Linked DNA regions of Arabidopsis thaliana. The protein of the gene in region 1 interacts with the protein of each later gene in a pairwise test. Each region holds a gene or a part of one and is shown in the gene's direction. Other genes may lie near its edges. The genes, in order: AT5G65925 and ATB' DELTA.

Region 1 (15,594 bases):
TAAGTTTAAGAGAGGTCGTGGTGGTGGTAGACCCGGCGGTAAAAGCAAGTTCGAGAGGTACTAAAAATACAGTTGCACAAACAACGTCATACTTAGTAGTATGGCACATGCCTTTTAACGAATGTTGTATCTTATTTTTGGATTCATTTACGATTGTGTTGTCTTAAGCTGTTTCCAGAGATATCAGACGAGATACCAGTTTTGTCCCCGTTACTTAGAAATATTGATCATTTTGTTTTGCGAATAAACTTGGTCTTATATATAAACATTGCAGTTTTTTTTACTACGGCTATATAGGTTTTGATAAAATGGAATATAAAAATTATTCACAACAAATTTCGGTAGCATCAGATATTTGCAAGACGTAGATTTAAATGTTATATATTGCCAAAAGAAACATTGGAGATCACATCACACTGCATCAACATCAAGCCAGTCGTTTGATTTTTTCTTCTCTTTTACCTCTTTTAGCTGAACCCAATCTGGTGATTTTTTGTCTGAAGAATCAGAACCAGAGTTAGTAAGGTTCTTGTAACTCACTTTCACGTCTCCTTCGTTATCGTCTTCTTCTTCTAGATCACTGAATGATACATCTTCTTCGTCTTCACCAAAAGGATGATTTGTGGTTGATCTTCCTCCAATGGCGCTAACTGATGAAGTCTCTTCATCATTCAACCAATCATCTGCATCGTCGTCGTCTTCATCATCCACTTGCACATTAATAAATCTAGATGAAGAAGCAGTGGATGTGCTTCTTTCTTCAATGACAGATTTGTCAACAATTTGTATCTCTTTGCTCTCAATAGGGTGCTTGTCTGTTTCAACGTCAGATGACTCGACTGGATTTACGATTTTAACAGCTGCTGTTTCTGGTGAAGGAGGCACAGTAAGAGGTTCCACAATGACAGTATTAGCTTCAGAACTCCCTGCTTCTACAGGTAATTTGCTTCGTTTCTGTAGTTCCTGAGATAACATTGATCTTGCTTCGAGTACCTTCATAAGCAAAGGCAAAAAAAATTAGTGACAGGAACAATAAATGATCTAACTTTATCGCAGGAAACCTGAAGTAGCACCACCTAGAAGCTTACAAATCTAGCAAACCTGATTGACATGCTACAACTCTTCACTTATGAGGATCACTGTTTTGGATTACCATATAACTTTCTAGAAGAGTATGATTAGCATCAGGCATAGGGTTACAACTATATACAATGTGAAAGGCATAAACTTGAAAACAAGGAAATAGGTAGACATTTGTAAGCAATGGAGTTGAGAATCCAAACTTACCTGAGGAGTGGAGAGAAGCAAGGCATGGTCTTTACTGAGTTTAGGATGCACAAGAACAAAGTAAATCCTCCAGAAGCAATTCTCAGTCATATATTCAGGGCAAAGCTCAATCCTCAAAGAAGCCAAGCTCGGTGCTAGCCTTTCTACAGCTAAAGCGTGCTCGTATTGAGCATCGGCCAATTCAAAGTCTGAAAATTGATTTAAAAACAGACAATTGAGAATAACTGAAACACCCAATACCCCAATCATGAAAGCATATAAACTGAAAACAAAATCAAACTTGAACTTCACTATTCACAGAAACAATTTCAGATATATAAGGAAAGATCTGAAACTAAAACTTACCATCAAAGCTATCGTCGTCATCAGGTAAAGGAAAATCCAACCAAGTCTCAGGATGCATCGCAAGATCCTTCACAAACGCAACTAATTCCTCTGTAACTCCGATTACGTCGTAATCTTTCGGATCCACATCTTCTGAACTCAATTGTAAGAAATTCGAAGCGATCTTTGTGAACTCAGACACAGGTAAGTTCCCAGATAGTTTCGAAATCCCAGTCCTGAATCTCCCACCAATCTCAGCGAAATCGTTCTTAATCCCAGCGATTAGATCCTCATCTTCCTCCGGATGATCGGGAGTTTGATTTCTCTCCTGAAGATCCGGAGATGAAGAAGGTTGCGAGAGGAACGAAGCTACACCCCAAAATTGGGTTCTCAAGGTCTTGGTAAGTTCGCTAATGTCTTCCTTAACGCCTCGTGGAGACTGTGAATCCGATACAGATTCCGACGGCTGTTGATTCAGATGCTTATCATCATCTTCATCTTCCTCATCGAGCTTGAGTGAGTTCGCTATGGATCTAGCTAACCAAGCCATATCTGAATCTCTCTCTCACACACACATACACACAAGTTGCGATCGTGATCTTTTTGTTACAGCAGAAGCAAATCAAACTTGAGAGATAGATAATGAAATCTCCGTCTAAATCAATATCTAATTTAAATATTGTAATCTTTATCTTACTTAATAGCTTAATCCAATTTAGAGCCAAAGACGACATTTTGTATTGACTGTCAAAATATTACTGGACCTGGATAATAGCCCATATAGTTCAACTAAGGCCCATCTTAAGATAGCTCCTATTCGGGAAATTATTTATATTTTATTTTTTCTAACTTGAGACAAATTGTTTTCCAGATTTGGTAACTGTGTTTAGATTTTATTTCCAGACAAGAGCTCTCACATCAGTGACATCACACTCACTGATACAATGTTTCCAAGAGATATGTTCAGATTCTCATAGCCAATTAAATAAAAAACAGAGATAAACAAACAGTGAACTGTTGAAACGATTCATAAGTCAAATCATCCTTTCTTTTCAATTGTTCATTCATTTACACAGTGCATACAAATCAGACCAATGCATGTTCAAAAAATAAGACTTTTATTCCCCTCCACAAATCTGAAACCCACCCATATCTGTTTTCTAATCCTACTGTTCTATCAAGAATCACTAAGGGTTATAAGAGTGTCAAATAAAACGATTCATAGATCAATAATTTCTCCAATTATTATGACTCACAAACAGCTAGTAACTTACAAGAGGCCAAAAAAATGATTCCTTTCTTCAATCTATTCTTCTACTGAATAATGAACCAACCACAACAAAAAGATTTATACAGTTTACTTCTACTTAACTATTATTATTCAAATAACATTGCAAAATAGAATTCAACACATCGAAACTCGTTTCTTACTCTCATACTCCTTGAGCTTCTTCATTTCTATATACATCAACAAGATGGGGCAGATCCGTTGTGTGATTTTGACCCGAAAGGTGAAAACTTGATCAGTCTTTTATTGGATAGTTCTTGTGAGTTTACATTTGGAGATAAACATTGAGTCTGAATAATGTAGACTACATAACTTCAATAGCTCAGCTGAACGTTGCTTCAAAGCTGGATCACATCCACTTTGTATCACAAGCAAAAGCTTTGCAGCCAAACCAACTTCAACAGCAAGAGATGAACATTCTTCAGAAGCTAATTTGCAAACTGACCAAAGAATCGATATCGCATAGTTTGTGCATTTCTCTGATACCTTCATCAGTAACCTAACGGTATGCGGAATCGTGTTAACCGAATCTTTCAAAGCAATTCTGCCTTCGCTTTCTAAACATAACGAATCCAACACGAAAAGAGCTGACTCTAAACACTCCACATCCAAACATGGCAAAACATCAACCAATTGAGGAACTGCACCAATCCTAACCAACAAGTTCCTAACTTGTTTATGAACAGAAACCGATTTGAGCAGCGTTAACGCAGGCGAAACGCCGTTTCTTCGTCTCCTATCTTTAACCAATCTCATTAATCCAACAAGCAAACTATGACTAGAAACAAGCTCTGCTCTAAAACCTTTCTCCTCCACCAACCTTCCAATCAATCTAGCACAATTGATCTTAGTTTCAATCGAACCATCATTCAACATATCAACCATCAACGAGACCCTAGCTGGTTGCATCAATCCAGCTTTGGAATCAGAGTCAAGCTCAAGATTAACAAGAATAGCTATAGCCTCAGATCCAACAGCGTGAGAAGTAAAAGGACTTAAAAGAGAAGAGATCACAAAGACTCCACCTTCATCAACAACAGTCTTCTTAGCAATAGCGTGAGCCATCACAACTTGCTTAAGCTCGCTTAAAGCATGAACCTTTGCTTTCCCTTTAGCCTTTCTCAACGTACCCAGAATCTCAATAGCACGTCCTTGCACATCTTCAGATCGTTTCTTCATCAAAACATACTTCTGTGAAAACCAAGTGTAGATCAATTGGTGAAGAGTCTTGTTAGGAGTGACCAAATCATCCCAAAGCTCTTGCATCGTCGTTGGGCAAGTACAATGCCCTATATTGAACCATTTGAGAATGTTGGACCTCTCGTAGGTTTGACCAGTACACAAGGTCACTGGATCTTGCATCGGCTCTAGAGAGATAGGACAGATGAAAACAGAGGGTATTTCAGGTAATTCCAGCTCAGAAATCATCTCCTTCAAATCCAATTTCTTCTTCTCATCGGTAACAACCACCAGAAATTTCCCATCTCCGCCGCCAAGAACACCGTCTTTAACCGCCGAGTGTAGATCTAAGATATGCCCATCAAACCCACCGTTCTTAGAAGGCTGAAACATTGGCATTTTAAAAACAAAGTCTTTCTTCTTCCTTGCCTTTAAAAACGAGTCAAAAAGGAAACTTTCAACTCTCTCGTAATAATAATGGAGCAGTGTATCATAAATACATGATTAATGCTTCCCCACCTGCTAACCAAGAATCTGGATTGTTCCAAGAGTTTCAGAATCGATAGTGAACCTTGAAATCTCGGAACAGAACAAAAAAGTAAATGAATTTGTGAGAAATTTAAGAATACCCAGATGACGAATTTGTGAAAGAGGAAGAAGGAGAAGAGAATTGGTTGTGGTGTGTGTTTCGGTGAGAAGGAAATTATTAAAGCAAAGAGACAAATTAAAAAAAGGGAACGTTTCTTTTGGTTTGGACCAAAGATTTTCTCTTTTTCACTCTTTTTGCTGGGAAAAAACTAAAAAGCAGACAAAAACCCAAAAAAAAACACAGATTATGTTGACCGAGATTTTTACAGGCTATAGCCGGTTATCAACTCATCTCTCGACCCATGCGCCACACGTGCAAGCTCAGATCCTGAGGTTAAATACCCATTTTGTCCTTGGCTTGACCCATATGTACCCATCTTTAGCTAAAAAAAAAATTGAGGTGTTTTTTTTTTAAATATTTTTAGACCAAATAATAAATCTTCATATTGATTTTGTGTTCCATTGAAATATCATGTTGCTTAAAAGAGCACTCTCTTGGGTCTTCCCTTTAATTTTTGCTACTGAAATCGATGTGTTGTCAAAAACAATAAAGTATTATCTCAGTAAATTAAGAAGAAAAATAGATGAAGGGGGTATTATGGTCTTTTAGACGATGAGCAAAGAAAATCCCGCACGTAAGTAAAAAAAGCTGCTAAGTAAACTACAAATACCCACGAGGACAGGTTAGGGTCACGTGCGACGTTCATTTCAAGGCCTAATTACTTCATTAACCTTTTATTTGAATCATCATTATCATTGCTATAAACAATTCTCTATTTTTTCAAACAAAAATCTAAAAATCTCGTTTTTTATAAACACTTTTCTTTACAGTCTATATATTCTAGAAACTATGAAGAATAATTGCAGTAATGAGTAAATACATGGAAAAACAAAAGCATTACTCTTTCTCGTTTCATACTATTGAAATGGAACATATTTGCTTAAACAAATCCGTAGTATTACTCCCACTTAATTAGAAGAATAACAACAATTTTTTCTCTGTAAGAACATATTTTTCAATTTTTAGTAAGTTTATTTCCTAGATTGGCACGAAAAAGAAAAAAGAAAAAGTGTAAATAAAGAAGTATGGGGTCCACTACATGCAAAAGATCCAGCTAGACGTTTGACCATATGACAGTGTGTGTTGCTTTGACTGTACGCCTCGATCGTGTCTCGGTTGTCTTTGACTGCTCTGTCACCACTTATATCCTTCCACGTCTCTCTTTTCGTTCCTAATCTTCGGTATTAATGAATGTTGTTAACTTTTATTAATACTACAAATTTAACTAAATGAAGATAAATTTTAATAAGCGAAAATTGATGGGAGTGTCAGCAGAGAGATCTGAGACCCATGTGTTGTTTTTGTTGGAGTTGAGTACTCTGCCAGAAATGCAGAATTTTGATATTCCAACCAAGTTTTCAAATATCACACGGATTCAATCTTAATTATGTGTTATTAACAAAAGTATGATTCACTCAACTAGTTTTAGTTCTACAATTAATTGCTAGTTTATTTTTGAATTCTTAGTATTTTTAATTTATAGAGTATGTTATCAATGGCTATTGATAGGCAATGAATTCATTGCCAATGAATGATCTCAATGTTGTCGATGTTATGAGTTTCCCGGTCAAACTAGTAAACTTAAAGCGGACCGGCAAGAGTTTTAAGTCGATGTGACGTGTTTGTAATAACGACTAAAACCATGTGAATTTTCATATTGATTGTGACGATAATACAATTAGTATTTTTAACTAATAAATGGCTGTTTGTATGTGCTAGAGAAGGGACCTAGTGACCATGACTACAGGCTGGTTAGGGTTGTTCTAAATATTGTTTGATGAACAGAACACATATCAGGACATTTATATAATTGTTGTGCCTAGAGTTGCCCTGCATAATTTTCAATTTGCTAAATTTGTTTGATTATTTAACTTAGAAATGAGTTATTGAGATTGTCGTATTTGAATAATTACATCACATTGCGCTTTGTATTTTGTTTCTAAGCTACATAGACTGTCACGTGAGTCCTAAACTCGTAGATTATTTAACATGTTGTTTCGCTATTTTTAGGTTAGTGATACAAATTATGATTAATTTTTCAGCAGATCATAATTTAACTTGATGAATTGATTTATTTTTCGGGATATATTCGTTTGCGAATTCATATAGTATCATCATGATAATTGGATAACATAGAACTCGATTCACGATATTATTGGGTCTAAAACTGAAAATTTTACCATGCCTACGATTATCAGAAAATATAATAATGTTTGTGTTGTTGGGCTGTGAGGGCTTCGAAATGGTACATCAAAATGCTGTACACGGCCTTCGTGAATGATAGGATTTAAGAAGCCCAATAAGCTATGCAAAAATATAAAGATGCAAAATCGAGAATTTTTATTGTCGTTGTTAAAGATGCAAATCAAAAATTTAATATATCTCGTCCTAGACATACAGGTTACAAATTGACTTTCGAAAACTTTATTATGTGGGGCAAGTTATAATTGGAAATTATAAAAGTGCAGATAGATATGTCAGCGATGAATTTATTGCTTTCATTTCAAGTTGCCAACAACATATTGAATCCATTGTCAAATATCTCTATAGAAACAAATCAAGTTGAAGCAAAATCTTTCTTATTTGACAAATTGGTTTTAAATTTTGATAGTGAAACTGGTAAATCAAGTCAACTGTAACCACCAATTTCTTATATACTCTCTTTTCCTTCCAATGAATCTCTCACTCCCCCTAAATCATTATTTCAGTATTTTTAATGCAAGAAATTTGGTGCCATATCTCAATCCATATTAATTATAATAATAATTTCGACTTTGATATTTTTGTTGTTGTACGCTTTGATAACGTGTTTAAAGACATATAGACGTGTACTTTGGCAATTGTTATTTGACTATTGAGCTTGTAAGCAAGTTTAAGCTTCAATGGATAAATACTTCAAGAAATTTCTAAAAAATTAATACTAATTAAAACTGCCGGCCCTTAAGATTACAACTTCAACCTTATTTTGACTTAACCAAAGTAAATTAAACTATAGATTAATATTTTGTGAATTTTTAATAAGATAAGTATCACCAAACCGTAAACATCCAACTAGATACATTTATATATACATACCCTAATAATTATTATTTCTGAAATGCATTTAAAACGAAGTCTATCATACACGGCATCTTCCTGTTCTAGTCGCATCTCCTCTCTCTCTCACTCTCTCTGTAATCTCTTATATCAACTTTTTTTTATTCCACTTTAAATCATGAAAGCTAAAGAAATGAAGAAAGAAAGCAATTTAGCAAGGTTGGTGAAATCTCCGGTTCGTTTCTTGATCATGGCACGTGACGCTTACATACGTAGCATGACGTCATGCTCCGCCGGTTTCATCCGCGGTGGTGGTGGCTCCGGCGCTTTTGGCTTACCACCCGGTAATTTCCAAATCTGCGAAGCACCAACCACCGTTCTCCCTCGTAGCTTCACCCTAAATTCGGCCACGACAACACGTGAACGTTGCCGGTTTGTCACACGTGGCGCCAGCAGCGGAGAAATCACGGTGGAGACGACGGCTATGAAACGACAGATGGATCTCCGGAGAAATTATAGTTGTATGGTTATGGGAAGGATTGATGAAGAGAAGGTTTGTGATCAGTTTGAAGAAGAGGATTATAGCAAAAAAAGAAAAATCGGTGGAGTTTTCACTACTCATCAACAATAAAAGAAAGAAAATGAAGATGACCATACTCATTTTCGTTTCTTTCTTCTTCCATTTCTGGTTAGATACAAAAACGCTAAACAGCTGAAAGAAATTCATTTTGTGTGCATTGTTCAAGTGTGCTTATAGACTTTCTTGCTTGTATATAAATTTCAGTACGGAATACACAGTCTAGATTGCAGACATAGTGAAAGTAGTCCTTCATTGTGTCAATTTCGACATTTTTGAGTTACGTTTTCAACGAACACTGAATTAGTATTAATGCGAGACAGATGAGAAATCATGGAATGAAAAAAAGTTTTATTCAAAAAAAAAAAGGTCAAACAAAAAGAGATTTTTTTTTTTTTTCCTTCTTCTAGGCATTAGAGTAGTCCTTCAACTTTACATCACCCAATGTCAACGTATGGATTACATTTGTCTTGCGTGTAAATCCTTAAATTTTACTGGTGAATTTTTGTTATTTCTCCAATCCACAAAATGGAATTTATAGTCTAGTTTTCCCTTAAATTAAAAGTTTGAATTTTTAGTCTCCGTATACCATAACTTTTGACATTATGGGGTTATCTTTATATGTTTGTATGGTTCTCACCAGCTTCATATAATATCTACGAATTTTTTTTTTTTTTTTTCATTTCTTGTAATGAAGATCTCATCAAAAGAGAGAAAGTTTGAGACATATAGGACTACTCTTCGATAGAAACTCTACTATAAAGCAGGAACTTCCTACAAAAAGAATGGTGAAAACCAGTGATACTATAGTCTCAATTTCACCTAGACGAATTTCATGTCAGCTTTCTTCAACTATCTGCCTCATCTTTTCGTGTACGATCTTCCTCAATATCCACCAAGTCTTCTTCCTCACCTTTTTTACCGGCTTGCTCTTTCCAGTATGCTACCAACTTCTTCAATCGCACCATCTCTTTGGATGATATATGTTTGCTGGGATCATTCACGATCGTTCTCACTCTCGATGCATATCTGGAATCAAAGGAGGAAAAAAAACAATATGGATTATCCATTTTTACACTAAGCATATTTGATTTATGTTATATATATATGGGAACTCATGACTTACAGAAGAGAATTGTACGTCTCGTCCAAATTTGATTCGGCTGGAGACACATTAACAAACATTAACGTCTTGGCATTGCCGCCCAATGAATCGCTCATCAACATCGTTAGCTTGTGATTCCTATAAGGAATATGCTGGTTGCCAGAAGATAAAGCACCAATAACATCACCTAATGCAGAAAGTGATTTGTTGATACTTTGAGCTTCTTTGAGTTGACAACCAGCTGAGCCCGACTTTTTAACTCTCTCAGAACCAGCAAGATCCACAAAACTCAGCTGCAAATAACAAACAAAAATTCAGAATATTGTAGAAGATACCACCATGATCAGGTGATATGGGTTTAACAATGGAGGGCATATCATTGACTAATAATATGGATTGTGTACATAAAGGTTTAACATTTTGTACCAGACCAAAGATTTGAGCTGTAAAATAATATCTCTCTTAAACAAGATTAATGTTACTATATTTTTCTTCGGTAGACTAAGCATGAAAATCTAAAGAAACTCCTATTTCCTTAAAATCCCTAAATGCTACTAAATCCTGTGAAAAATGATAATGAGTCAATAAAGAAAAACATAGTGAATTTTGTCACCTTGCCCCTCGCAGCAGACTGGGTTTGAAGATCAATACTTTCAATAACAACTGATAATATGAGGTGAGATCTTGAGCTTTCTTCATTCATATTTGTTCCAGAAACATGTCGTCGTTCCGATCCCCGTTCAAGAATCATTCGCAGTTCCTCCAAAGTTGATATAGGAATAGTTGTCACATTCTCTACAAAGACCATTCCCTGAGAAAATATTTTATGCATAAGATCAAACTTACGTGTCTACAATCTAGTTATAACCTAGTTAAAATAGATATATCTCACAATACCTTTGAATCTTTTTTAATCTCTAGTTTCAAGCGTCTTGCACTTTTTGGTAACAAAAGGTCTACAAGTGTGTCTTGATAAAGTTCCACCATATATGCCTGCATAACTTTTTGTAGTCAGTTGATGTCATAATCTTTTATCACATCATCTATTAGGATAACAAATTACCTTTAGAGAAAATGAAAATCTCTTGCTATCTCGCTTTAATATGTTGAACAGTTCCTTTGTAGCTCGAGGTGTGAGTCCAGGATTGCTCTCATGCCCATATATAGTGAAAGTTTTTCCAGAACCAGTTTGACCATATGCAAAGATGCAAACGTTATACCCATCTACAGCCGACTGTACCAAATACTGTTAAAAGGAAAACGATGTTAGTAACCACAAGAAAATAACAAAGGATGAAAGGTAAATGAACACAGTTACATATCAATAATACCTTTGTGTCTTCAAAGATATCATCTTGACTAGCACGCATGTCAAATACGCGATCATATATGTGTTGCTTTCTTTTGTCGTCTTTCCATGGATGTTCAACAGTAAACTCATCCACAGTTGTCAGCATTTGTTTTTCCCTCTCTGAACTCTCTTTTTCATTTAGAGGTCTTATTCGACAATAAACTCTAATCTTCCCTTTCATATCTACAATCAAATAAAAATGTTAGTAAAATTCTTTTTTAAAAGCAATGAACATCATTGTACATACTTGAGCATTATGTTACCTTCTATGGTATTATAGTATCTTTTCCTTAAAACTTGTTCTTCCTTATAAAGTATTTCTAGCTCAGCAAGTTGGGCTCCTTGCATTTTCAAAATGGCAGCTGTTTGCTCATTTTTTCTGTCAATGTCCTAAGAAAATGAAATTGGAATGTAAACACATCCCTCTACTTCAATTTTGAATCGCGAAAATACATTATCATCATTCAAACAGAAACAAAATTAAATAATGAAGAAGACAAAAGAGTACCATTACCTCTTTCATTTCTCTTAACTCCTCAAGTTCTTTCAAGTTATTTTGCAACAGCAGCATGTCAGAATTCTTACTTTCAATCGTAGACTCAGCACTATCCAAGTCTTGAGCAAGTACTTCAAGCTTATTTTCAAGTTCAGAAACTCGAAGCTTTAACACCTTTTTTTCTTGTTCATATCTCTTTTGATGAATTTCAACCTGAAATAATGAGATGTCAACAATACGCAAGTATTTGATACTTCTCAATTTGAAATCTTCAATAAATCTAATACATAGAATTCACCTCCTCTTTTTTCTTCTTTTCAATATTGAGATTTTGCTCCAATATCTTGTTTTCACTCAACAACCTCTTTGAATTATCAACTGCGACATGCAATTCCTTATTTCGAACTTCTAACTCCTTTTGGATCTTGTATAATATCTGTGACTTAAAATTCATTGTCAAAGGAAAGCAGAATTGGAAACAAAAAACAACAACTCAATGATTACAATGAATTAGATTTAAACACATAATATTCACCTGATTATTCATTTCGGCTAATTCTGATTTTGTCTCTTTACTTGATTTTGTGTTGCCCGACTTTGCCAACCTTGCTTCCATTCCTCGCAGTTCAGACATCAAGGACTATAGCATATATAGAATAAATCATTAAATAACTTCAACCAAGCATCAAAAGAAAGACAAAAGTTAGGTTATAACTAACTTGAATAGTTGTTCCCTTCTCGTCACACAATGACCTAAGTTTATCTCGGTCTAAAGTAACCTCCAACAATTTTCTCCTTTCAAGCTCCAAACCATTGTGTATAGCTTCTAACTCTTCACGCAGAGTAACTTCTTGCTGATTTTTCTCTTGTTGTTCATCCATCAACTATACAACAACATAAAACATACGAATAGTTCATCAGCATGCCACTCTAAAACAAAAGAGGTCATGGTATAACATTCTACATACAATAACATAAGATAGGAGGGTGATATATACTGAAATATCTCAAGACTACCAAGCATAAAAACCATGAAAAAATCCAACTACAATAAGTTATTTCATGTATTTAAACAAAGATCAGCCTCCCTCTATTATATTCAATTTTACATTGAAGAATAAATAAGAAATTTGTTAGAATGTGTACCTTCTCAATCTTCTTTTGGGACTCTTCATAAGCCTTAGACAAATCTTGCAAACGTTTTTCATACACTTCAAAATTTTGCGGCTTAGAACTACAAGATATATCTCCATTAACCAAGCTATTGGCAGCAGATCGAGCTTTGGAGTAACGACGCAACATGACATCATTTATATGTGTTTGCAAAGCAACACAAATTTCTTCTCCCTACAAACATACAAGTTACCCAAATTGAATATCTCATAAGGAATTGCTTCATAATATAATGATCCACAAATAGTGATGTTTAAACCTGTTTTGTCTCGAACTGAAATATGTGAAGAACACCAGCGACTCTCATTTTGAAAAAGACAGCAGTGTTACTGCTGCCAAATTGCATGATGTCACGTAGTTCAGCAGAGTGCAGATATTCTTTAGGAACCGGTCGAAAAAAGTGAACCTACAAGAAAGCAAACAACAAATTCAAATCCAACAACATAGATTTGAATTCCAAACAACAATAACAGTTTTTTTAAAGTCATAATGTATAACATTTATATTGAGACTAACCCCACGTTTGTTGATACCCAAAATGATTCGCCCAGGTAAAAGACCGATCGGATCATCTATCTTGCGTACGCTAAAAAAAACTGAATTCCCGTATGGCAGTGCCTTCAGTATCCGTAGAAATTGTTGTCTTGCATCATCTTTGGTCACGTTCTCCTACATGCCCACATACACATACGAAATATCATTTTACCATGCCATCACTTCAATGGGTTTTTATTTGCCAAAGGTATCTAGAAAGGGGAAGACAATCAAAATGCATAGAACTATTCCTACCATTGAACGGTAGCGAGCAAGGATATCCAATTCCCATTCACGCTTTGCTCGGGTTATTGCTATTTGTCTTGGCAAAAACCGCTCAAGAAGTGATGTCCAATCACTGATATGTGATACATTGAGAAAGGAAATGATATTGTTAAGGGAGGAAAATTGGAAAAATAAAGTATCGGACAACTAAAATAAAGTCAATGGCGGAGCTTAAGAAAACTAACATGCATGACTCTGGACTATTGACAAACCCAATCCCAACAAGAATTTGCAAGGCACAAAGCTGTGCAGCATCGTCCCTCCCAACAGGATAGTTTCCTAGCAAATAGTCATGTTGCAGCTGCATATATGTGTGTCAGCAACGAAAGGCAAGCCTTTTGTGTGGAAATAAATGTCACCAATGAAGAAAATGCTCACTTGAACATACGAAAGTTGCACAAACATCAGATCTGTTACAGCTTCATCAGACTCTCGGAATAATTTTTTTTTAAATACCAGTTTGCAGTGTAGTATCTCTCCTTTATTTCGATCTTTAATAGCTTTAAATTCTGCGAGGAGATCTCCAATATACTTGTTATCATCCAATCCTATATATTCCTCTGCAAGTGCACAGATAGAAAAATGATCGATAATGTTGTATTACTTCACAATATATGACGAAGCCAGTCATATGAAAGCATACCATTTCCGGGATCAGATGATTTAGAACTTGAAACAACTTTACGACATTCAAACAAACTAAAGCTAGAGAAAGCTGATAGTTTAATTGTTCCAGCTAGCTCCTGAAACAGATGTCAATGCAGTGAGAGAAAAAGGGACAAGAATATGATCAGCGGTAAATTATGAAAAAAGAAAGCAAGAAGATACCTCAACAGCATCAGACACTGTGGTAGCCATGTCATATGAAATTTCTTCAAAAGTTTCATCGAGAAAGAAGACAATGGTTGTGAGCTTTCTACCGGTCAAAAGGGCTTCAATTTCTTCACGACCAGGTGTGGTGTGCCTAGGACCAGCTTTGATAGAGCGCTTTAAAGCTTTCAAAGTGTTAACAGCAAGAACCTGAGCATCCGGTTCAATAGTTGCATCGTGTGCGACATTATGAATATACTCAGATAGATATCCACCGATATCTTTGCTAGGAGGCATAGAGGAGGCACATAAGTACATCAATTCCCAAGCTTTGATCAAGTATTGCCTGTCAGGATTATGTCTAGTCTGTTTGGAGATTTGGGCAAAAAGTTCGTCCCTGAGTTCAACACGCTTCAAAGTTTTTTTGAAGAGCTTTCCAACGAGGTCAATGCGTTCATCTAAACTGGGAGGCGTAGATCGATCAGATGAATCAACACCCATATATTTTAAGATGAGATGAAACAACTTGGTAGCACGGCTGACGAGATCGCTGTTAATCTTGAGGAGAGATGTGGGGATTGGATCCTGAAGGAAGGAAGGGGAGAGAGACATATTCAGTCAATGGATTGTCAATGGGGAAGAAAGGGGGGGAAAGAAAAACCTTTTGAAAGCAAAGCATATCCTCAAATGTGAAGCGCTCGCGGACATTGGAGCCAGAGGACTTTTTGGAATAGAAGAAGCCACGCTTCCCAGCAGACTGGATTTGTTTCTGCATTAGCCGCAGAAAAGCTTCAACCTGGAAGCGATCGATGAGGGGAATGGCGGCGGCAAGCTCCGCAGGAATTGACAATGCCACTTGAGGAGCTGGGGAGCTGTGACAGAGCGAGAGACTAAGAATGTTTTCAAATTTTCAAAGAAGAAGGATCAACAGAGACAGCAGCAAGAGAGTGAATGTTTTTAAAAATTCAAAGAAGACTTACAGAGGAGGAAGAGAAGACGACTCGGCATCGAAATCGGTTCCAGAGGGATTGGGAACATAGAAGCAAGAAGAAACGTCGGTGGCGACTTCGGTGCCATTGCCAGAGCTCAACGAAGAATTACTGCCTCGTTGGCCCTCCATACCCGAAGAAAAAGAGAGATTGTAGTAGATCTGATGAACAAATTTGCCCCAGAAATTTGGGCAGAGGGAGAGAGAGAGATGGGGAGACGAGAGTCACGGGAGATTTTTAATTGCCTCTTCTCATTCAATACTTCACGATTCACCTGATTTTCTAATTATTTTTCGTTTTCAGAAGATGAGACCAAGGAGGAATCTCAATCAAATAAATGAACAATGACTATAGACGTGCTTCCACGTCCGTTTGCCATGGTTGTGCCTCCAACACCATTAACAAATCTTAACACAATTCTGCTCTGCTGCTTTGGTGTCAATTCTCAAATACAATAATGATTTATGTAATGTATGCAAGTCCTATTCAACACAAGTGTTGTTACATTTAT
Region 2 (16,193 bases), on another chromosome or scaffold:
AATCATCAGTAATTCTACAGCAATCTACGATCCTCAAACACTGCATAGTACCCTGAGCCCTCTCAGTTAAATGCAGTAGAGCCTCTTCCGTGATCTTCTCATTCAACGGTCGACAAATGTGGATATGCTTCCAAAGTAACGTGTCATCACAAACAGTAGTATGCAAAGACTTGCAAACCATACTAACTGAAAGAAGATCCTTCCCTCGCAAGTGATAAAGACAAAAACCAATCGCTGGATGAACATACGCATCCTCTTCTCCATTATTGCAGCGATCACTACTTCCTACAACTTCACCATTCCTCGCATTCTCATGGCTCAATACCTCATCAACACTACTAGCAGATATGAAAGCACCATGACAAGATCCATCACCATCTAATGCCCCTCCAAACCCATTATTTTCCCCACTACTTTCAGGGAATTTACATGTGGAAAACAGAGACCCATCAAACGCCCCACCAAACAATGACTCTGATCCATAACTGTAACCACTACTCTGAAACTGCATTGCATTGTTCCAAAAGAAACTCAATCCAGCAAACAGCTGCTGACGGTTTCCATCACCAATCCAAATGTCATCTCTTCTTCTTCTTCCATATTGGTTATTATAATCATCCTCCAAATCCTCAAGCCATCCAGTAATAGCCGTGAAAGTATTGTTGATATCCATACCAAACGGATCAGATGGCAAAACATCAAGTATATCAACAGAAGAAGCATCTCCTCCAGTATTCTTCCTTCCATTATCGAAACTTGAACACCAATTCCCATTGGCTATCATCATTGGTTCCTCAGATAGATGAGAAGAAAAAGGTCTATGTGAAAAATTTAAAGCCATTTCTATTAATCTCTATATACACTTTAAACCTAACAAAACCAAAAAAATCCCTCTTTTGTACACAATCCCTAGAAAAACTCAAAACCCCCTAAAGAAGATAGATCAGATCCGAAGATAAACTAAAAAGTTATTTTTTTTTTTGGATAATCGAAAGATGAATTAATAGATCTATGGAGAGAAAAAGGAAACTCTTGATTTCAGATGGCAACAAAAAAATACTAGGCACCAGAAATTTTGAGAGCTTCCTTGGAACCCTAAAAAACCCTAGAAAAGAAATTCGAAATTGAGACGTATTAACAACCGAATTTGGGTAACACAAAAAGAATGAATTGAATAAATTTGATTTTTCCTTTTTTTTTTTGTTTTCCTTTTCTTTTTTCTCGAACAAAAACTAAACTAGGGTTTTCAGAAATTACGAAACCTAAATCCTAAACATTATCAAAGAAGAAGAAAGATACGAATTTGATTGAATTGAAGAAATTGAATCACCAAAGAAGAAGAAGAACAACGCGATCAACGGGAAAGCCAAACCGAACCCTCGCCGCGAAATTAAAACAAGATCTCTTTTTTTGTGTGGGGGAAATCGAATTGTAATCAAACGAAGTTTTTGATTCAATCACTTTGGGAATTCAAAGAAGAGAGAAAGAGAAAGAGAGAACGGGTTGGTGAATTTCGTCGACCGAGTCAAGAAGAGAGAAAATAATGGAAACGACGAGAAAATTGTGCGAAAAATCTCAATTTATTTTATTTTTAGGGGTTGAGATTTTACGAGGGAGAGAAAAATAAAAACTATTGGAGACAAAATCAATTAAACAAACTTAAATAATAATAAAAAAGAAAGATAAGATTAGAGTGAAATCGTCAAAATCTTTAAACACGTGTCATTTTTTTTGTTTTTTTTTGTCATTTTTCAGTATGAAGATAAACCAGGAATATATGATTTTTTTTCTTTTCTTTTAACATGGATTAATACCAGAAGTGTTTGAGCTAAATATATTACGATGATATTTATCTATCTGCATATAAAAATAAATGTGATTACAATAACAAAATAAAAATAAATAAAAAGATAAATGTGATTACGATGAATAATTCTACATAAATATTAATTTTACTGTGCATTTCTCTTTGTAACGTTCAGATCTTCAATAGACAGTTTTATATGTATAATAAACTTTAATTATTGTAAAAAACATTATATTTTATTGTTAGTAAAATGTTTGTTTAGTATCTTTTTAGTTTGTTGATTTTAAATAGAATTAATTTTGTCTATTGAAACTACTTTTTTTTTTCTTTCTATTTTTGTTTTGATGTTGGTTTAGATAAATTCATTATTGGGAGATTTTGAAAACTATCTTGTTTTTGAGTTTTCATTTGAAAAATACATCTTTTTCTATTTTAAATAAAAATTGTAATTCTTGATATATAAGATGACAAATTTATCCAGATTTAAAATAAAAGTTGTTTTATTCATAAATTAAAACAAAATTCGAAATTTAGAAAAACAAAATTAAAATAAAATAAATTCGAATTCTTAATTATGTTTTCAACTATTTTTTGAGATAAAAAGTTATTGGTTTTAGATATTATAAAATTTTGAAAAATATTCTAAAGTCTATCACCTAATAAACTTGTTTGCTTATTTTTTTGGACGAAAATTTGTTTAAAATATTTAAGATAAAAATTAAATTTGAATTCATATAAAGTCTATCACTTTATTTATTTTATATATTAAAATTTTATGAAACAATATTTACAAATATTTCTAAAAAGTCTATCACTTGATAAAGTTTAATTTTACTTTTTGGACAACATTTTGTTTAAAAATATTTAAGATAATAATTATCTTTAAAATTATTAGTTACATCAAATTTGTATTTATGATTTTTTTTTTGTTTTAAGTTTTAATTTTTTTTTGTTATTTCCTAATTTTACTGAAGCTGTTTTAGTACTTTATATATTGAAAATTAATTGTTTAAAAAAAGAAATAAAGATAGGGTATTTTTCAAATGAAAACCCAAAAATAGGTCATTTTTCCAAATTTATTCATTAAATATTCAGTGCCATGAGTTTGAGACATATTTATTTGGTAGATTTATATACCTAGAAAGTGGAACAAATAATGTTTTGCTTTAAAAACCACAAAGATTCACAATAAAAGAATATAAATAGATGTGATATAGCAATAAAGATAGTTGTATCTTGTACATAGATAAGCTTTAGTAAACAAAAAAACAAAAAAAAATATCTTGTAGATAGATATCTTAAATACGATCCAATAAACCAAGGCAATATAAAATCTGAAATTATTTTTTTTTGTGAAACAAAAACTGGCATTTTAAAAGCACAAATCAGGTAAGAAATGTGTTCTTAGTTAATGACAACCAGTTATTAAAATCATGTCTAATGGTTTTTAAAAAATAAATAAGAAGGAAAGTGTACCAAATAATATTTGTTAATAAGTTCTATAAAACAACACGTAAAGTTTGATATATACCGTGTTTTAGCAAGGAATACTTCGTAGAAGAATATAAACTTGGAACATAATAATAAAAGATGAACTTAAAACTTCCAAGATTCGTCTCTTCTTTGTGACATATTCCAGAAATAAAAGAAAATAATTGTTCAGTGAACACAACAGAAAACGATTACTTTTTATAAGATATTTATTGGGTCAATAGTTTATAGAATAATAGAAGTCAAGTCATATTACAAAGTGTTGAAAAAAACTTTAAATAGTACAAATACGTCAAATGAAAATGTAACAATTGTTTTTTTTTATCAAACACGTTGAAACATGGTAATATTGGGCCCGTAAAGCCCATAAGGTCTTGAGAAGAGAAGTCGCCCATAATAAGGTTTGGACAAAAAAAATTAAGTCATTGGAGTCGTCGTCTGTCTTTCCCATATTAGGGTCTTCTTCTTCCTTTTACTCCTTTTTTTACGCTTGAAGCTTCTTCTCTTTTCTTCTTTTCTTCTCATTGAAGCTTTCCTTGTTGCAGGATTTAATTTAGGATTCACAATTCCAACACATACAAATTGTTTAAAAAATACAATAAGTCATAAAGTCAGAATACGTTAAACATTGAAAATGTGAAGTATAATATTTGGTTTTCTCTTCTTGTTTTTTCACAAGTTAAGAAGTGTCTGAAAAATAGTCATGGCTTCTTCTCAAAAGGTTTCTGATTGGGCCTTATGAGGTATTGAGAAAAGAGAAGTAGCCCATTAAGGTATTGAGAAAAAGAGAAGTAGCCCATTAGGTCTTGAGCAAAAAAAGAAGTTGAGTCGAGCAAGCAAGAGTCCCTGACTCAGTCCTCTTTTCTCAGCTGTCCAGAAAGTAGAAACCCTAAATTCGAAAATGGAAACACGAAATCGAACCATACATCTCACTGATGCGATATGGACGGAGATTCTAGCGAGGTTACCACTGAGAATCATCGCTAGATTCAAATCGGTAAGCAAAACATGGAAATCAACAATCGAATCAGTCTATTTCCGCCGTCTCTTTGTGTCTGTGCACCGAAAATCCTCAACCTCGTGGTCGCTAATGTGGTACGGACAAAAAGATCTCGTAGGTTTCCATGGATGCGAGACATGGGGTCTTCCAAAGTCTCTATCTTTTTACATCCCATCGTCTCTTTGTATTATCGAGGGTTCCTCCCATGGATTGGTTTTGATTTCAGAAAATGATGATGATTGTTGCTTTGTGGGTAATCCAGTTTTACAACAGTGGATCAAAATCCCTCCACCTCCAGTTCACTCTTCAGTGTTTGGTTTGGTGTCTCGCGTCGACGATGATGGCTTTGTTTTGGGCTTCAAAGTCGTTAAGTTAGCTGAAGTAATAGTGACGAATAACTATGTCTCGTGTTCTTTGAGTGTGTTTGTGTATTCCTCTGAGACTGGGATTTGGACTTGTAAGACTATTCACTGCCCTTATCAAATCACCAACTTTGGTTCTTTCACTTTGGATGGTACCATTTACTTTGACCATCTTAGTGAACCTGGAGTGCTCGTAGCTTATGATTTCTATTCTGAAATCTCCGATCAGTTTTGGGTTATACCTCTCCCGGATCATCCGAATCACGGCTTCAATAGCGACTTCAAAGGTGCTTTGACTACGTCCCAAGGATTTGTCATGTATATCAGAACATTAGCTCAATCTTCGTCTAATGTTTTCAAGGCTTGGAGGTTGAACAATGATTCAACTTGGCAACTTTTGTGGAAAATCGGCCTCCCGTCACTTATCGGTGATTATGTACCTATGGCAATGCATCCATTTGATAGTGACATTGTCCATCTTTGGAGTCAAGATCATCGTCATGTGGTATCATGGAACTTGCGGACTCAGAAGAATAGAATCCTCGGAGCTGAAGATAATGATGAAGATCATAAAGATTGTTACTTGAACCAGCCTGTTTGTGAGGAGTGTATGGATGAGATATGCGGCTGTAAAGCTTCTGTCAGGTTACTACAACTTGTTCTCCCACGGTGGATGGAATCGGTGCCTTGTCCTCCCCAAGTTGAGATGATGAATACAGCTTCGGTAATCTCTTACGTTACTTCAATGCAAGAGACAATGATAAGGAATTGGCTTCATCAATGATTTCAATATCTGCTTTTTTTTCTTTTCTCGTCTTTTGGTTTCTTTCTTCTATCTAGTACCATCTATGTAATGGAAGACAACCATATCCATATCATGCAATATTTGCATCTTCTTATTTTTGTATCAGTTCAATGACATGTTTTGCCATTTCATCTTTCTAAGTTGTTACACAAATTGTCACTTCCTTTGAACAAGAGTTTCTTCAATTGCAGTTTTATTCCAGCCGCACGTAGTTTCTTAAAGATATGTTATTCGATAGCTTTACCATATGTACTAGCAAAACGAACTAAACGACGGCGTACGTAGCGTAAAGTAGTGCCCGCTTCAAAATTTCGTAATCAAAAAACACAAGAAGACTTGGTAGCCCAATCCACATAATTAAATACTATTTTAAAACAAATAAATTAATTAAAAAAATAAAGTAGCAAAAAAGTACGATCGATGAAACTGAGACCGTTGGATCAAACCTATCGAATTATAAAAACTAGATCACGAGAATAATAAAAAGAAAAAGAAAAAAATAAAGCAGAAAATTCATCTCCAAAAAAAAAGAAAGAAAAATTCATACTTCCAAAGGAAAGGGGAAGAAAAACAAAAACAAAAAAATCTCAAGTCAACAAACAACAACGAAGGTCCGAAGAACTTTGAATGTTGTTATCATCATCATCATAATCAGAATCATCAACATCATCGTTGTATTCTTTTCTGGGTATTTTCTCTTGTTGACCTTCTAATTATGCCATCTCCGATTATCGATTTTTGTAGAGCAATCGTATTTTATCGAAGCCCTTGTTTCTGGTTTTAGTCTCTTGTCTGAAATCAATCTCAAAAAGGTTCTGTTTTTTCGGGGAAATGTGCAGCTTTTGATTGTTTCATTTTCCGATTGTTTCAGAAGAACTGGAATCGCCGTAAAGTTCGAATTTTTTTTTGTTAGATTGTACAAAAGGGTGTTGTGATTAAGGAAGAAGAAGAAGAAGAAGATAAAAAGGTTTTTTTTTTGGCTGTTGTTGTAATCTGGGAAAGTTTGGGATTTTGTATCGATCTCAGGTTTGTGATTTGATTCTGTTTCTAAAATTTATTAGGCTGATCTAGGATTTGAGTTTTTTTTTATATGGACTTTGCTTTTTTTCTCAGATGGTGAAAAGACGAAGAAGTGTGATTGTTTTGGGGATATGATTAAAGAACCTGAATTGTTCTGGTGTTGAGAATAAGAAACTATGTGGAAACAGATTCTAAGTAAGCTTCCCAACAAAAAGTCTTCAAAGCACGAACATCGTGGACGTGAACACGGTGGCCATTCTTCTTCATCTTCTCATACTTCAGGTGCCTCTACTTCCAAAAGCACTGATAATGGCGCCGCGAAATCGCATGCTAAGAACGCTTCTCCAGCCGGCAAATCCGCTGCTTCTGACTCGGGTTTTAAAGATGGGAATCTAAAGAGTAGTGGGAACAACAACAACAACAACAACAACGGTGTCTTTACTCCTTATGAAGCATTGCCGAGTTTTAAAGATGTTCCAAACACGGAAAAGCAAAACTTGTTCATTAAAAAGTTGAACTTGTGCCGTGTAGTGTTTGATTTCACGGATCCTACAAAGAACATCAAGGAAAAAGATATTAAGAGGCAGACATTGCTGGAGCTTGTGGATTATGTGAATTCTCCTAATGGAAAGTTTAGCGAAGTCGGTATCCAAGAAGTCGTTCGGATGGTCTCTGCTAACATATTTAGAACGCTAAATCCTCAACCACGGGAAAATAAAGTTATCGATGCCTTAGACCTGGAGGAGGAAGAACCTTCCATGGATCTTGCGTGGCCTCACTTGCAGCTTGTGTATGAGCTTTTCTTGAGGTTTGTTGCTTCGCCTGAAACTGACACCAAGCTGGCTAAGAGATATATAGATCAATCTTTTGTCTTGCGGTTACTGGATTTATTTGATTCCGAGGATCCTAGAGAAAGAGATTGTCTGAAAACCATTCTCCATCGGATCTATGGTAAATTTATGGTACACCGACCTTTCATCAGGAAATCCATTAACAACATCTTCTATAGGTTTGTTTTCGAAACAGAGAAACATAATGGGATTGCTGAGTTTCTAGAAATCTTGGGAAGTATCATCAATGGATTCGCTCTTCCCTTGAAAGACGAGCACAAAGTGTTTCTTGTTCGAGTTTTGATACCTCTCCACAAACCAAAATGCTTGCAAATGTATCATCAACAATTGTCTTATTGTATCACACAGTTTGTGGAAAAGGATTGCAAACTTGCTGATACGGTTATAAGAGGATTGTTGAAATATTGGCCCGTGACAAACAGTTCCAAAGAAGTCATGTTTCTGAACGAGTTGGAGGAAGTACTCGAAGCAACTCAGCCACCAGAATTTCAACGGTGCATGGTACCACTGTTTCGCCAAATAGCTCGATGTTTGAACAGTCTGCATTTTCAGGTACCTGTCATTCTCCATTCTTTCTGAAATAATAGCACCTCACATTTGTTTTTAAACTGGCGAATTTCCCCGTGCTTTGACATTTCCTGAAAAATGCTCTGTTGCTGTTAGTGTTGGGTTTGACATTTGCAGGCCATATCGTTTCGACATACTTTAACTGCATTAGTGTTTCACCTGTTTATGTTAGCCTATTAGATTGTTATATAAAAAGATCAAATGAAAGAGTTGGGTTTGTGGTAATGAAAGTATCTACGTATAGGACTGTTGTATTGTGTTCTGGATAATATCTGATGCAGTTTCTTAGCTAAATAAGGCTTATGGTTACATACTTTAATTGTGTTAGTGTTTCGCCAGTATATCTGTGTTACCTTACCAGCTTATGAGAAGTCGTTATAGCCTACCAGTTATATCAAACGAGCAAATGGAAGAGTTGATTTTGCGGTATGGAAAGTATCAATGTTTAGGACTGTTATATTCAGCTCTAGGTGTTACTCAAGGCAATTTCTAAGCTAAATTGATATAGTAAGGCTATTGTTAAGTAGAAAGTTACAAAAGAAGAAAAAGTATTGCGTTGAAGGGTATCTGTTTTGGCTAAACAGTGACTGCATACGATCTTTCACGGGAAAAGATCAGTCTAGTAGGTTCAGGATCTTTGTTTCAGTCTATTCATGCTCTGTCTGGTTTTCGCAGGTTGCAGAGAGAGCTTTATTCTTATGGAACAACAATCACATTGAGAATCTGATAATGCAAAACCGTAAAGTCATTCTTCCAATTATATTCCCAGCGTTGGAGAGAAACGCACAGAAACATTGGAACCAAGCTGTTCATAGCTTGACACTAAACGTGCGAAAGATATTTCATGACCTTGACCCTGAGTTATTTAAAGAATGCCTCGCAAAGTTCAAGGAAGATGAATCAAAAGCAGCTGAAACCGAAGCAAAACGTGAAGCCACTTGGAAACGTTTGGAAGAACTCGGAGTGCGAAAGGCTTCATAAAGTTAGAGTTGTAGAGAAGAAAGAGAGAGAAAGAGAGCTTCTGTATCTTCTATTGACATGTTGTTCTTCAGATACATACTTGAGAAGAGAAAAGTTTCATATTGGTCTCTTGGTTTGAAGGAAAAAGGAAACTCAAAGATGTAAGATTGTTCCTGTTTTGATTTCCATTATTTTTATTTCTTGTTTCCTCTTAAATCTTCCTGCTTGTTAAAATGGGTTATTTTTGCTACATTGTATGATCATCACTTGTTCCACTTTCTTGAGACTTGTCTTATTCATTCATCTTCTGCTTTCATGATACCTGCAAATATTGCACTTATAGGATTTGGCCTTTTGTATTTTCAGTTGTATCAGAAAAAAAATCGTATCTTTATAAGCAAAAAAACACCTTTTAAAAAAAGTTTTTTTAAGTTTTCAACAGAAACTCAAAGAGAGAAGACCAAATTGTTGGTTTGAGTATTTTGGGTTTGTGGATTTGGTTACGAACTCCATAAGTCTAGGAGGAACTCTGAAAAGATCTTCATGGAGAGATCGGTTTAGTGGTTGGATTTGAATCTTTTAATGGTTATGACTTCAACTAAAAAAACACTGTCGAGAGATGTTGTTTCTTGTCTTGGTCAGTGAAAATTTTCTCTGGTCTTAGGGTCTTCTCTCAGTCACCATCCTCTCTTTCTATCTCTCTCTCTCTTTACTCTCTAATCTTTATCCATTCTCTCTCTTCTTCTCTATGCCAACGAAGCAATAGCTATGAAAAGCTAAACCCTTTCCTTCTTCTTCTTCTTCTTCTTCTTCTTCGATTGTTTAGATTACTTGGGTTTGACCCAAGTTTGCTTCTTTCTATGATTCATCAATCTAGATCTTGCTATCTGGGTCCAGAAACGATTCACGCGCTTCATTCATGATATAAAGTTACTACCTTTTTTTTATTTTACCTTCTGGGTCATGGTTTTGTCTGCTTTTCGTCTTTTGCTTTTGTCTGGATGATTCATAATCTCTCGAGATCTATTATGTTCACAAGAGTTGTTCTTATGCGTGGTGAGATGATCTTAGGAGTGTTTCACTATCTTTCTTCAATTCGGGTTTTTAGTTTCTGAGATCTGTTTTTGAAGAATCTGATCTGAGTTTGAGGAAGTTTGACTAAATAGATCGAAGAAGATGTTTAAGCAGATACTTGGGAAGCTTCCTAAGAAAACTTCTGCTAAGTTTTGGGATAATGGTGAATCCCAAACTCTAGATAACAACAACAATCAAGGAGGAGGTGATGAAGTTTTAAGCCAGAGAACGTCATCAAATGGAGATACTAGTTTGGATTGTGTTTCTTCTTTTGATGTATTGCCAAGGTTGAGAGATGTTTCCATCTCTGAGAAGCAAGAACTGTTTCTTAAGAAGCTTAGACTATGTTGTCTAGTGTTTGATTTTGTAGCTGAGCCTCAACAGAACTTCAAGGAGAAAGAGATCAAAAGGCAAACACTTCTTGAAGTTGTGGATTATGTTATCTCTTCAGGGAATGGCAAGTTCCCTGAATCAGTTATTCAAGAAGCTACCAAGATGATTTCGGCGAATCTCTTTAGTAATCCTCATCGACAATGGAAGAACAAAACTCCTGAGGCATTGGATTTGGAAGAAGAAGAAGGATCTTTGAATCCTTCTTGGCCTCACTTGCAGATTGTTTATGAGTTCCTTTTGAGAATCGTTGCATCTCCCAACACAGACCCCAAGATATCCAAGAAATACATCGATCATACATTCGTTCTCAAGCTATTGGATTTGTTTGATTCTGAAGATCCGAGGGAAAGAGAGTATCTGAAAACGATACTTCACCGCATCTACGGGAGGTTTATGGTTCATCGCCCGTTCATCAGGAAAACTATGAACAACATCTTGTATGATTTTATATTCGAGACAGGGAAACACTCGGGAATCGCCGAGTTTCTTGAAGTTTTAGGATCCATCATCAATGGATTCGCTTTACCACTCAAGGAAGAACACAAGCTCTTTCTTACTCGTGTCTTGATTCCTCTGCACAAGCTGAAATGCTTACCAAATTACCATCAACAGCTTTCTTACTGCGTTATACAGTTTGTTGAGAAAGATTGTAAGCTCGCGGATACCGTTATTAGAGGGATGTTGAAGTACTGGCCTGTTACTAATAGCGCTAAAGAAATCATGTTCTTGAATGAATTGGAGGAGATACTAGAAGCAACTCAATTAACAGAGTTTGAACGGTGTATGGTTCCGCTCTCTCGCCAAATTGCTCAGTGCTTGAGCAGTTCTCACTTTCAGGTACAGTTAAGAGTTTATTAGGTACATTTACCTGATTCTTAGATTCTTGAATTGTTCATAAAATTCAACTGCTTCTGTGTTTTTAGGTAGCGGAACGGGCTTTATACTTATGGAACAACGATCATGTCACTAATTTAGTGAGACAGAACAGTAGAATCATTTTACCTATAGTGTTTCCCGCTTTGGAGAAAAACGGTAGCAGCCATTGGAATCAGGCTGTGAAGAACTTGACAGAGAATGTTCTCAAGGTTTTGTCCGATACAAATCCTGATTTATTCGAAGAATGTTTGCACAAGTTCCAAGAAGATCAGCAAAAAGCAGAAGATACTAAAAAGAAGAATGGAGAAACCTGGAGACAGCTAGAGGAGATTGTTGCTTCAATGGCGAAGTAAGAGTTTTTTCTGCACTTTACGTGATTCAACAAGAAATCGGTTTATTGTTTTGTTTTGTTTCCTTTACGCCTGAAAGGTATATACATTTACTTTGCTTTGCTTGCTTCATTTAAGTATCTGGTTTCGACTTTAAGACTAGTTTAATTCAGTTAAACAGTGTGAGATTTTACCTTTTTCAGTTCTTGATTTGTCTGTATACTTGGTTCATGTAAACATCTTGTTATGAAAACACGAATTTTCTATTGTCTGAAGTCACTTAGTTTATCAGTGAAAGAGATTGCTCTAATATAAAAATTGTTTCTGGAATAATGATTTCGTCCTTTAGTATACAGAGGATCTGTTGGCATTTTCCTGCAAGTATCTTTGGATTTTGTCTGTTAAAAGGTTCTGTTACAACAGGTTTATTCTTCTAACCAAGAAACCGAAGAAAAGCTCTCTGCGATGACTCTTAGTCGGTTTTTCGTCAGGAGGTTTCACCAGATGAGAGTTGATGTTGTCTCCAGAGATATCATCAAACCATCATCTCCAACTCCAAACCACTTAAAGAAGTTTAAACTCTCTCTTTTAGAACAGCTCGGTCCAACGATCTTTGGTCCTATGGTTTTCTTCTATTCAGCTAACAACAGCATCAAACCAACTGAGCAATTGCAGATGCTGAAGAAGTCGTTATCCGAAACTTTAACTCATTTCTACCCTCTCGCTGGACGGCTCAAAGGCAACATAAGTATCGATTGTAATGACTCAGGCGCTGATTTCCTCGAAGCACGAGTCAATTCACCGCTTTCGAATCTCCTACTAGAGCCTTCTTCTGACAGCTTGCAACAACTGATTCCTACATCTGTTGATTCCATAGAGACACGAACCAGACTGCTTCTTGCTCAAGCGAGTTTCTTTGAATGTGGAAGCATGTCTATAGGAGTTTGTATCTCTCATAAACTCGCTGACGCAACTTCTATCGGTTTATTCATGAAGAGCTGGGCTGCAATCTCGTCCCGAGGGTCGATCAAAACCATTGGAGCTCCGGTTTTCGACACGGTTAAGATCTTCCCACCTGGAAACTTCTCTGAGACTTCCCCTGCACCAGTGGTTGAGCCAGAGATCATGATGAATCAGACTCTTTCGAAGAGATTCATATTCGATTCTTCGAGTATTCAAGCTCTGCAAGCGAAAGCTTCAAGCTTTGAAGTGAATCAACCAACAAGAGTCGAAGCTGTTTCAGCTCTTATATGGAAATCTGCAATGAAAGCTACAAGAACAGTTTCAGGAACATCGAAACCGTCAATTCTGGCAAACTCCGTGAGTCTACGCTCACGAGTCTCTCCACCATTTACAAAGAACTCAATAGGGAATCTAGTGAGCTACTTTGCAGCAAAAGCAGAGGAAGGAATAAACCAAACAAAGCTTCAAACTTTGGTTTCGAAAATACGAAAAGCGAAACAGAGGTTTCGAGATATCCATATACCAAAGCTTGTAGGAAACCCAAATGCCACAGAGATCATTTGTAGCTACCAGAAAGAAGCAGGAGATATGATTGCAAGTGGAGATTTCGATTTCTACATATTCTCAAGTGCTTGTCGATTCGGTTTATACGAAACCGATTTCGGTTGGGGAAAACCGGTTTGGGTCGGGTTTCCTTCGGTTAGACAGAAGAACATCGTGACGCTTCTCGACACGAAAGAAGCTGGTGGAATTGAAGCTTGGGTGAATCTGAATGAACAAGAGATGAATCTTTTTGAACAAGATAGAGAATTGCTCCAATTCGCTTCTCTGAATCCTAGTGTGATCCAACCTTTTCTTCATGTTCTCTGATTATAAAAACCGGTTTAGTGAGCTAAACCGGATATATTTGTTGAAAAACTGGTTCTATTTTGACTAGCCGTTGGGAGGCCACTAAAAAGGTTGAAATTAAAATAACGGGCAAAATTTGGTGATGTAATAAATAAATAGTCCTGAAGAATCACCTTTTTATTATATACTAATAAATTCAGAAGTTATTTTTGTAAGTAATCTCATGTTAAATTTAAAAACAAAAAGAATTTTTGTCATATTTTTTTTTTTCATAAAGACAGTTTCATTACTCTCTATTAATATTAATTAAGCACTAAAAATAAAATTTAACTTGGAGCACACTCTCATAACTTAATACTAAAAGTTTAATATTAGTGTTTATTATTATTAACTAATATTTTTAAAAGAGGACAACAAGAATAACCATAATGATAATTGATAGCTTATACGTAATAATAAAATATAGTTCAAAATAATAATAAAATAAACATTCTATAAAATATACGTAATAATTATATACAATTAGATAATAAAAAAACACTAAACATAGTTCAAAACAAAACAAGGAAGATTAGAAAATGTAAATACATTATTTTATTTCTGTAAACAGTAGTATATATATAATAATTAAATGATTCCACAATTAGATGAAACGTTTTCTATAAATGACGTAATAAAAATAAGGGAAGTGGCCGTTGGGGAAATTTAAATCATATGCTTAGAGTTCGGACCTACTTTCAGATTTGCAGCCAAAGAAAAAGAAGCTAACAAAGATTTTTCAGTTTTCAGTTTCTCAGCGAAACCACCAGATTTGGGGATAAAATTAGGGTTTTTCGATCTCCAGAGAAAACAAAAAAAATGGGAGAATCAATTTGTCTTGTGAGATCTTTCTCGCAACCTTCAGAGTTTTCATCGCGTGAAATCAACGAGGTTAGTGCTTAAGATTTCTAAATCTACAATCTTGGATTTAGGGTTTTGATAATAGAGATTGATTTTGCTAGTGAAATTTCTGTGTATAGTGTGTTGTTTGATGAATCTGAAGAGAATTTGAGATTTGGTTTTTGGTTTTTGGCAGGTGGTACCGAATCGAGTGCTTACGGAATCAGTATCGTTTGGTAGATATGCGAATGAAACACTAGCGTGGGCGAGATGGTCAGCTTTTACTCAGAATCGTTACTTGGAAGAGGTTGAGAGGTTTACTAAACCTGGTTCTGTAGCAGAGAAGAAAGCTTTCTTTGAAGCTCATTTCAAGAACCGAGCTTCAGGGAAAGCAGCAACACAGACGAAGAAGATTGAACAAGTAAAGGTTAAAGATAGTGTTGAGATTGTTTGTGATATACCTAAGGATATTCTCGTTGATTCAGAAGTACCACTAGCGGTGAATAGAGAGGTGTCTAGTAATGAGGTGGACTCTGTTGTTCCATCAATTTCTGTAATAGATGAAACTGGTAAAGTGGAGAACTTGAAGTCAGTGGTTGTTCCTGATGAGGTAAATGCATTTCTGTTACATTGCAATTTCCTGTTTTTATTTTTTCTCTCTAAACGTCCATGGTGTTTTCAGGGCAATTCTACTTCTTTGAGCAAAGAAAGACCTCCTAGTTCTTCCGGATCGAAGGTCTCAAGCTCAAAACTGGAATCTTCCGTTGTTATAGAACTGGATCATTCACTTAAGAACACTAAAAAAGAGTCATCCTCGAGTAGTACAAGGTCACTTAGTGCATCGAAGAACCGAAGTAGATCACCTCCTGAGCCCATTCACATGTCAATCAGCTGTGTTTCTTCTAGTAATACCGAGAAAACTATTGTGGGGAGGCCCCAGAACGGTTCTAGGAGTGCAGTGAAAGCAGACAAGAAGAAGAGATCAGGTCCAAGTTCAGTTCACATGTCACTCAATTTTGCTTCTTCTACTCTTCGTACGACCAAAGAAGCCCCAAAAACACTGGCAAGAAACTCCACTACACAGGGAACAACTTCAACAAATGCTAGAAACAAACTTTTCCCAAAGATAAACGAACCAACGGGAGCTTTAAAAAGCTGCAAGAGACCATTGTCTCAGACATCCAAAGACGGTTCAACCAATGTAATTCTCTTCCCAAGTTTCTCTTCTTGCGTATATCCCAAGCATATTTGCTGAGACTGACTCTTACATATATTGCAGGCCTCTGCTGTCACGTTACCCAGACTTCCTCTTCTCAGTAATCTGCTATCAGAAAACAAAAGGTTACTGATCAAACCATCTTCAACACCAATTCATCGCTTTATACTATTACTTTATTATTAACTCAACCCTATAATTAACTTTGCTTCTTCTGATATACAGGAAAAACATATCTGTAAGGAGTTCAGTTTCATGTAGAATATCCAACAATGAGCAAAGAAAACCTTCTGTCGGGTAAGCGGTTTAAGTACCAACCTCTTAGAGAAATACTATCTTATGTCACTTACTGCAAATGGCCTGAGTTGGTTAATTGAAAGTGTTTGTGTTAGTTCCCTGATTTATGTGGACATAAGACGAGATGTTTTTGTCTAATGCATTTTGCAGCTGTGAAAATCTGTCAACTCATAGCAGAACCAAAGCAAAGTCTTTGACTGTATCTTCTCCCTTCGTCTTCAGAAGTGATGAAAGGGCAGAGAAGAGGAAAGAGGTAGAACTAAAGAAGATCCTTTTACTTTATCTTTGAGATTATTTGAGGACTTATAGAGCCGTAGTTTAAAAAAGATCTCTTTTGTTGTGGATGTGTCTTGTCTGTTAGTTCTTCAAGAAAGTAGAGGAAAAAAACAAGAAAGAGAAAGAGGATAAATTTTCTTGCGGCTTCAAGGCAAATCAAAACACTAACTTAGCATCT

The links.
Region 2: the proteins of AT5G65925 (region 1) and ATB' DELTA interact in a two-hybrid assay, tested with the Arabidopsis thaliana proteins (one large-scale study listed by BioGRID).

The regions. Positions count from the first base shown.
Region 1 is NC_003076.8:26,361,181-26,376,774, forward strand, and holds AT5G65925 (uncharacterized protein), read left to right. Parts: upstream 1-7,864; 5' UTR 7,865-7,941; coding exon 7,942-8,394; 3' UTR 8,395-8,674; downstream 8,675-15,594. Other genes in the region: AT5G65900 (DEA(D/H)-box RNA helicase family protein), read left to right, coding at 1-64; AT5G65910 (BSD domain-containing protein), read right to left, coding at 412-993, 1,288-1,475, 1,633-2,161; AT5G65920 (ARM repeat superfamily protein), read right to left, coding at 3,143-4,477; ZWI (kinesin-like calmodulin-binding protein (ZWICHEL)), read right to left, coding at 9,189-9,369, 9,467-9,738, 10,059-10,256, 10,343-10,438, 10,509-10,691, 10,777-10,979, 11,060-11,186, 11,311-11,505 and 13 more.
Region 2 is NC_003074.8:9,507,702-9,523,894, forward strand, and holds ATB' DELTA (serine/threonine protein phosphatase 2A 55 kDa regulatory subunit B prime delta), read left to right. Parts: upstream 1-9,251; 5' UTR 9,252-10,039; coding exon 10,040-11,167; intron 11,168-11,253; coding exon 11,254-11,559; 3' UTR 11,560-11,862; downstream 11,863-16,193. Other genes in the region: AT3G26000 (Ribonuclease inhibitor), read right to left, coding at 1-841; AT3G26010 (Galactose oxidase/kelch repeat superfamily protein), read left to right, coding at 4,200-5,444; AT3G26020 (Protein phosphatase 2A regulatory B subunit family protein), read left to right, coding at 6,662-7,597, 7,685-7,888, 8,021-8,053, 8,265-8,375, 8,579-8,884; AT3G26040 (HXXXD-type acyl-transferase family protein), read left to right, coding at 12,040-13,368; AT3G26050 (TPX2 (targeting protein for Xklp2) protein family), read left to right, coding at 14,206-14,277, 14,423-14,836, 14,909-15,427, 15,506-15,567, 15,668-15,739, 15,890-15,992, 16,101-16,193. UniProt on the Arabidopsis thaliana protein: The B regulatory subunit may modulate substrate selectivity and catalytic activity, and may also direct the localization of the catalytic enzyme to a particular subcellular compartment.